Linked DNA regions of Ovis aries. The protein of the gene in region 1 interacts with the protein of each later gene in a biochemical or structural test. Links are inferred from orthologs where the notes say so. Each region holds a gene or a part of one and is shown on either strand. Other genes may lie near its edges.

The links.
Region 2: the proteins of LZTR1 (region 1) and KRAS form a complex in vitro, tested with the Homo sapiens proteins (2 studies listed by BioGRID, with this or other methods). The link is inferred for Ovis aries from reciprocal best matches to the Homo sapiens genes LZTR1 and KRAS.

The regions. Positions count from the first base shown.
Region 1 is NC_056070.1:72,363,576-72,367,385, reverse strand, and holds part of LZTR1 (leucine-zipper-like transcriptional regulator 1), read right to left. Parts: intron 3,659-3,810; coding exon 3,602-3,658; intron 3,596-3,601; exon of another isoform or gene 2,931-3,595; coding exon of another isoform or gene 2,869-2,930; intron 2,053-2,868; coding exon 1,973-2,052; intron 1,662-1,972; coding exon 1,553-1,661; intron 872-1,552; coding exon 788-871; intron 217-787; coding exon 159-216; intron 1-158. UniProt on the Homo sapiens protein: Substrate-specific adapter of a BCR (BTB-CUL3-RBX1) E3 ubiquitin-protein ligase complex that mediates ubiquitination of Ras (K-Ras/KRAS, N-Ras/NRAS and H-Ras/HRAS).
Region 2 is NC_056056.1:190,404,599-190,409,179, reverse strand, and holds the end of KRAS (GTPase KRas), read right to left. Parts: intron 695-4,581; coding exon 575-694; 3' UTR 571-574; downstream 1-570. UniProt on the Homo sapiens protein: Ras proteins bind GDP/GTP and possess intrinsic GTPase activity. Plays an important role in the regulation of cell proliferation.

The DNA.
Region 1 (3,810 bases):
GCGGCAGGGCAGCGGGCGACAGGCCACCCAGGACCCCAACAGCAGTCGCCCCCATCGTGTCTGAGGAAGGATGCATCATCCCCAGCTATGGCAGTCACAGGCTCGGCCATGGTCTCCCGGCCCGGAGCAAGGCGGCCTCCCCAGCCCACGGCCCTCACCTCCTCCCAGCACGTGAGCTCCCGGTCCTGGAGGCCGATGGTCCACATGTCATTCAACCTGCATCGGGACAGAGGGGGTGGGGCCCCGCAGCTGGGCTGGAGGTCAGGGTGGGCCTGGGCCCGGCCGGGACAGACGGCCCCAGGAGGGAATCTGATTGGGGACTACAGAGCGGCCTTGGGGTAGGGGCTTCGGCTGGGGGCTGCCCGGAGGCCCCGGGGGCCACCACGAAGCCTGCGGCACTCGGGGCTTCTGGAACTGGCTGGGGTCCTGGGGACTGAGCGCTTGGTGCTTTTGTAATCAGAACACAGCAACGTCGACGTTCGCTGACGTTCCACAGCAGGAAGGCGCCTGCCTCCCCCGCTCTGAGCTCTGAGGACACCAGCTACGGTCCTGGGCGTCCTTGGCCAGCAGTCTAGACGTGTGGGGCCCACCATGCCTTCAGTCACCCCAGGAGCTTCAGGGGTGCCAGAGCGCCTGTCCCCGGTGGGGGTCCGGCGGGGGGGCCTCCACTCAGTGGCCTTCCCCCAGCCGCATCCACACACCCAGCCTCCTGGGAAACCCAGCTCGTGCCTCCTCCCCGGGGCAGGCGGGCCGCTCTGCGCCCGGCGTGTCTCTGGCCACGGCCTACCTGGCGTTGCCATCATAGCCGGCAAAGATCCACAGCTTGTCACTATACACCGTGGCACCGTGGGCCGAGCGGGCGACTGGCAGCCTGGGGCAAGTGGAGGGCAGGGCTGGGGGCACCCTGGGCAGAGCTGAGCCACACAGCCCCACATAGCCCGGGTCCCAGCCCTGTGAGCCCCACCGCCCTGGGGCGAACGTGCCCACACCCGCTGACCCGGGCTGCTGGGAATAAGGGACCTGGCAGAGTCTGAGCCCGCATGGGCACTGGACGAGGAGTCACACGTCCAAGGGCACAGAGCCCCCTCCAGGCCCCTGCCTGGTGTCGAGGGGGCGCCTGTGAAGCAGGGCCAGAGGAGGCCGTCCGCAGAACACTGGGTCTCCCTACCCTCCGGAGGGGTCCAGGGGAGCTGAGAGCCAGGGATGGGCAAACAGGGCCAGCTGGCGGGTGCTGCGGGCTCCCAGCTCGGCCGTTGCGGGCCCTCACTTTCAGGCTGCGGGCCCCTCTTAGCTTTTAGAGTCAGGGTTAGGGTTAGGGTTAGGAACACTGCTTCCGTCTTGGGCTTTCGTCCTTTGGCCGAGGCAAGTGGGATCGTAGCTCCCTGACCAGGGTTCGAACCCACACCCCTTGCCTTGGAAGGCAGTCTTAACCCCTGGGCCGTCCCGGAAGGCCCCTTCATCTGTAACCCCACAGAAGCCAGTCCAGGCCCGCCGCCCCCCGAGACCCAGCATGACAGCCCGTACAACCCCAAAGGTCTCAGCACAGTCTCACCGTCCTTCAATTTTCCACTCTGTCCACTGGCCAGTTGCAAACTTGTATTCAAAGAGGTCGTTTTTGTTCTTCAAGTTTGAGTTGGAATAGATGTCGCCAGTGTAGCCCCCTGTAAAGAGAGCAAGAAGCCCCCACAGCCCGGGGCGTCAGCTCAGTCTGCAAACCCAGGGGGCGGTGGGCACGGGCGGGGTCTGCCCTCGGTCAGCACGTCTCCCAGGACCCCTGCCGCCCATCAGCTCCTGCTCGAGGCTCTGGGGACAGCAGCCGGGCGCAGAGGCAGACGGTGCCCCCTGGAGATCAGGACGGTTGGGGGAGGGGACCCGAGAGGCCCCCGACCCAGCACAGGCGCTGGAGGAAGGGGCATAGAGAGGCTGGCCCAGCACAGCCCGGGGCCGAGGCTCGACGGGAGGCGGCGCTCACCGAAGACGAACATGCTGCTCCCGTAGACCACGGCGGAGTGGTGGTAGCGGGGGGCCGGGGGGGTCCCGGTGGTGAAGGCCCTGAGGGGGGAAGGGGCATCAGGTGCAAGCGGGGGGCAGCCCCATCACCCCCAAACTGCTCTCTGCTTTCTCATTATAGAAGCCTTAAAAAAACTGCCAACTAAGGGAAAAACAAAACCTCACATATAATCCCTTTGCCAGAAACCACTGTCCACAGCTTGAGGGTACACCTCCCCACCTTCCCCACAGTTACGCCTCTGAGTAATTTTCTGTGATTTCTCTATGACCAACTCAGTGAGCACGAATCTGAGCAAACTCCCAGAGACACTGGACTTCCTTGGCGGCTCAGGGTGAAGTATCGGCCTGCAATGCGGCCCCCAAGCCAGCTGCAGGAGACCCAGGTTCGATCCCGGGGTCGGGAAGGTGCCCTGGGAGAGGAAAGGGCAGCCCGCTCCGGTCTTCTTGCCTGGAGAGCCCCACGGACAGAGGGGCCTGGTTGCTACAGTCCACGGGGTCACAAAGAGTCGAACACGACTGAAGCGACGCAGCACAGACCCCCAGCAGGAGACCGTGGACAGGGAGGCCTGGCGCGCACCCCATGTGGCCGCCGAGAGTCAGACGGGGCTGAGTGGGATCTCCGCAGTGGGATCTCGCGCTGGCCTCCTGGCCCCTCTGGAGCCATCCCCCCCCGCAGCCCCAGGCTGGGCCGTGCTCTGCAGCGCAGGTGTCCATGCGACTTAGCTGCTCCTTTTCAGACTTTTAACTGAAGCAATTTTTAACCATGAATTCAAAGTCTCGAGAGTGATTTTCCAGTTCACCCGTAACTCCCGCACACAGGTTGCAACCAAGCGCGAGAGAACCACCAAACGAACTGACCTGACCCCAGCGCCTCCTGGGGGTCTGGGCAGGGTGCCGCTGCGAGTCTCAGGCCCAGACATCCTCCTCTGTCAAAGGCGGGGCGGTGAGACCCCCCAACCCCGCGGAAGGCAGGGCCCAGAGCTGCTACAGAGGCCGGCAGTGGGCACAGCTCAGGAGGAAGCCCAACACTTCCTAGCCCCGGCATCTTCTCCTCCCGTCGGCTGGGAGCTGCCCCCAGCGGGGCTGGACTGGAGCAGAAGGGCACAGACACCCAGAGCTCAGAGAGGGCGTGCGTCTTGCCCAAGGCCACACAGCAGGGAGGGCCTGGGACCTGCGGGCTGCCCGCTGCCTGTGCGGGGCCTCCCGGAACGGGATGGGCCTGGGGAAAGGCAGGGTGGGGGGCAGCTGCTGGGTGGCCCCTCTAGTGGCGGAGACAGTCCTGGAAGGACCCGTCAGCCCACGGCCCCCCAGTGGGCTCCCATAGCAGCCCCTGGCCTGGGAGATGGAGCTGGTGATGGAACAGCTCTCCTGAAGCAGAACCTAAGGACCCACAACTGGATCCCCTAAAATCACAAGATTCAGAAAATCCAATCTCAGCCTCAGACCAGAAAAGAAAGGAAGCAGAAAGAAAAGAGAAGGCCAGGGGTCACTGAGAGGGGCTGGATGCGGTCATCAGCTCCTTGAAGCACCTCTAGCCTGCACGCGCGGGACCCGGCCAGGGGGCGCTCGTGTCTGGGCCGGGGGCTCCCACCTGCACCAGGAGCAGTCCTTCACGTCGAAGCGCAGGAGGTCATTGAGCATCGTCTTCCTGAAAGACAGTGGGGACCGGCGGATGGACACGGGCAGCTGATTGAGAGGCTCAGCCAGGGCAGCTAGCTGATGCTCGAGGGTCCAGAGACGGGACCCCAAAGGGAGCTCCCCGTGGATGCGGGACCAACCCGCCCAGGGTCGGGACGCACG
Region 2 (4,581 bases), on another chromosome or scaffold:
CTGCGACTGGACAGTAGCCCCTGCCCACCGCAAATAGAGAAAAGCCTGTGTGCAGCAATGAAGACCCAGCACAGCCAAAAATAAATAAATGTAAAAAGAAGTTAGAGGGTAACATCATAACAGAAATTTGTGGTTGCCTCCAACTGGATATGAAAAGCAGGGAGTCATCCCAAGACTCCCAGGTTTCTCACTTGGGTAAAGAAGTGATGCTGATGTCACTACATTAAGAGAGCAGAGACAGAATAAGTACCTGCCTGTGGAATGTCCAAAAGAAAACATACTCTGTAAGAGTGATCCTTTCCCACCTTCTGGGCCATTCAACTCTGCTATATGATACGGCATATTTTGTCTCTCAAGACCCTGACAGTCTATAGCCATCAAAATCTGCCTCAATTATAATTAATACCCATTAGATTAAAAAAAAATGTATTGACTGTGGAAGCAAACTACATGTTTATTTTTTTAATACTTCAAATTAGAATCCCACACCAAGGTAGATCTCATGTGGTTGCTACTTTGTTAGCTATGAAAAACATATGCTTTCTGCCAAAATTAATATGCTGAACTTACCAGATTACATAACAATGCATTTTTTAATTTTCACACAGCCAGGAGTCTTTTCTTCTTTGCTGATTTTTTTCAATCTGTATTGTCGGATCTCTCTCACCAATGTATAAAAAGCATCCTCCACTCTCTGCATTGTAAAACACAACTTCTTTAAAGTCTGTTTCATTGGTAATAGTAATTTATTGGGATAGCCATGTGCAAGAAATTTGAAAGTTTGAGCTTTACTTGAGCATTTTCTTTTTTCAAACAGACATCAGACTGTTTGAATAGAACTGGGGATTCAGTATTAAAATAGGGCATAAATTGTGATTTGTTCTTTGAAGTCAAGTTTTGTTTTGTAATGGGATAAGAATTTTTTTTTAATTTGGAAGTACATGTGTTATTAGTACCTGTATATCAATTAATGCAATCATTTTAGTTTGTTAGTCACAGAATTAATCAAAGTCTAAACTGAAGTTAGATTTAAATTATTTCTCTGACTTAGGGAAAACAAGTTATTTTTGTACCACTGATCCCCACCCCTGCTCTGAGTCAGGAGTGAGGAGAAAAATGGTACAAAAGGGATAGTCAGACCTTTGTTTAAACACACACACACAAACATGCACACAACACCTCAAAATATAGCTGGTTCAAGAGACTGGAATCACAAGTTCTATCTTCAATTGCAACTGTCCAGTCAATTTCTAGAGCCCACAAATGGAACCGAGACTGAGACTTTTGTGGATCAAGAACTGCACTATTTAAATAAAAATGCTAAATGAGGGCTATTTACCATAAAATGAAAATATTTTTAATCGTTTAAAAAATACAAAATAGTAGCAATATAATTTTGTATCTGTACTACAAGTCTTAAAAAATAATTTTTAAAACAATACCCAATGTCCTGGCTTTATATCTTCTAATTTACACACTCCGAAGGAGCCAAGGGGACTTCTTCTGCTTAAGGCTATGGTGAGAAAGCTACGACAACAAACACAATCATATATGCCCGTAGGGAGATGTTTTATGTCTTTTCTAGTCTAGAAAATTAGACAGTAGCCAAGAAGACAAAATGTTTAGATTAACTGTACTGTTAGTTTGTCCAGAAGAATGTAACCACCAAAGTAGAAGCTTACATCTAAAAAAAGAAATATTAATTTCTTAAAAGTATTAAGAATACTTAAAAGTATTTTCTTAAAATATTAAAAATATCTTAAAGTTTTCTTTAAAGTATATTCTCAAAAATATTAAGAATATTAAGAATAAAAAGAAATACTAACACAAACATTAACCTACATAGGGTTTCCCAGGCGGCACTAATGGTAATGGTAAAGAATCCATCTACCAATGCAGGAGACGTAAGAGACACGGGTTCAATCCCTGGGCTGGGAAGATCCCCTGGAGAAGGAATGGCAACCCACTCCAGTTTTCTGGCCTGGAGAATCCCGTGGACAGAGGACCCTGGCAGGCTACAGTCCATGGGGTCTCAAAGAGTCAGATATGACTGATGTGACTTAAGCACGCATTAATTTACATGTGGTACAAATTAACTTAAAAGACATATGTTCCATTCTTCTAAAAGAAAGATGTGCTTTTAAAATGTTGGTGGTTTATTTTACCGTATATATTTTTTTAAACTTAATCTGTTCTTTCAATTTTAAGATAGAATTACTCACTATGGGAAGTGGCATATTTAAGTCTCTGCAATTGGTAACACCAGTCTTTCTATAAACCAAATGTGACAAAATGGACCCAGCACCTAAAAAGCTAATTTGTACCAAAAATATGATTTGCAGTTTTAAATTCAGTCAAGCACAGAGAATCAGCAATTTAAGTATTAACTTAAGTAAACCAACAGCTAAAGTTTAACCTTAGCATACATACATCATCACACATCCACTGCTTACATCAGTTAAGGAAAAGAAAAGGGGCATCTCAATTTTTATAGCAGTATTAATGCTTACAAATCTTTAGAATGTATTAAGAACTGCTTCAGTGGAACTCAGTAATTTATCTTTGAAGTAAAACTTTAATTTAAAATTCATAAAATTAAGTTTTAGTTAAGTAGGGATTTAAATAATGTTAATTATATATTAAAATGTACCTCTGAAGTTATTTTATCAACTTGTGATATAAAAATCTGTATACTTTTAATGAAATCAATTTAATCAACTAGGTAACTAAGCCAACTACAAAACAAAAATTCCAACTATTTTCTGATATCATTAAATATGTTGGTACTTTAAACGAGACAGCCACATGTACCCATATATAAAATTTTTAATATTTTGTATTTATCACTACTGTCCAAGAGGAGAAGGTCTGTTTTTAAGAAATTACTATTCTCATTATTATATAAATAATTAAGGTATCAAAAGAGCTTTAGTAATGCATATAAAATATAAAACCTGTGCTGACACTTAAGATATCTTCACAAATGATTCTCTTTTCAATTTGAAAATTAATGCAAGAAATTTCAAATATATGTACATACAAATAAAACAAACCAAGTAAAGCTCATATTTTTAAGAATAAAAACTCTCATTCCTGTTTAAAAAAGAAGGTATAAGGTCAATGTAGAAGTACTGAAATATTCTATGATGGAGGGAAAAAACGGGGTTTTGTTGCTCTACTAATTTAGCAGAAGCAAATTTTGATTGTAATTTATTTCTAAAACTAGTTTGAATGTGTCTGCTTTTTAAGTATGCACATCCCATCACCAATATCAGAATATATGATTTTTGTTTCCAGCAATGCAGAGAGAGAGTTGGAAGCCAATAATTAAAAAGAACTATACTACCCGCCACCAAGAAGTCAGTATCAGGACCTCAGAGGCTAAGATAATTAACACCACCAAGAAATAGTTATTCCAGAATGACTTTTTCATTTCTCATCTTTACTAATAGAAAATTTAAATTAGATTTTAAAGAATCTGTTATTTACCATATTTTCTCAGACTTAATTACTTATTTCTTGATAATAAATGCTTTAAAGTCATACTGACATGAAGAGAACATTACTGATCCTTGTATGTACCTTAAACCACTGGCACAAAACACTGGTTTCATATTCCAGAATTTGTAGGTAATTTTAAAAGATTAAGCACAGCCAAAACAGATGTTTAATACCTACTATGGCTAGTTGCTAAGGTCTTAACCGGCATACAATGATTTATTCTTGAGACTATGGCTTGTTGCCCCAAAATACTCATCTTCAGATCTTACTGATTAAACAACTGAGACATAAGTGCGTACTGTAGGAGCAAAAGTGCATGTATCTATGTATGTAAATTTGAAATAAGTTTTTAAAGATATATTTGTACATTTTCTTAAATCAAGAGATTTGACATTACTTTCAGCTCAGTCATTATCTGAAAACATCCTGTGGAGACTATGGAAATACAGCACTTCCGTACCGGAGAAAGAACTGTTAACCACATCATTCTGTATCCTGATGCCTGTAAAGCTTTCACTAACCAATTCAATTTTAAACAAGTACTTGTTCCAGTTGAACAGTTTACTACCTGCCAAAACTCTTTCAATGAAATAACACTTCAAATACCTGAACCGTAGACAGATGCAAGAATACTAGCCTTCCTGTGCTATTGTTCAGTCATTAAGTTCTGTCCAATTCTTTGCAACCCCATGGACTGCAGCACACCAGGCTCCCCTGCCCTTCACTATCTCCTGGAGTTTGCTCAAGTTCATGTCCATTGAGTCAGTGATGCCATCCAACCATCTCATCCTCTGCCACCCCTCTTCTAGCCTTCTTGGGGGACAGCAATGGGAGGAACAAGATGTATTCTAAAAAGCAACTCTGCATCACTGAATTGGAAAGAAACCTTGCTGAACGATAACCTACCTCAGGAACTACTGAGCTGCTTCGGAGGCTATGCTATGCATTGGTGCACAGCAGGTCCTCGGTTAATTGTTTTGTCTAGTTTTAAAAAGCCTCTTGATGAAAGTGAAAGTGGAAAGTGAAAAAGTTGGCTTAAAGCTCAACATTCAGAAAACGAAAATCATGGCATCTGGTCCC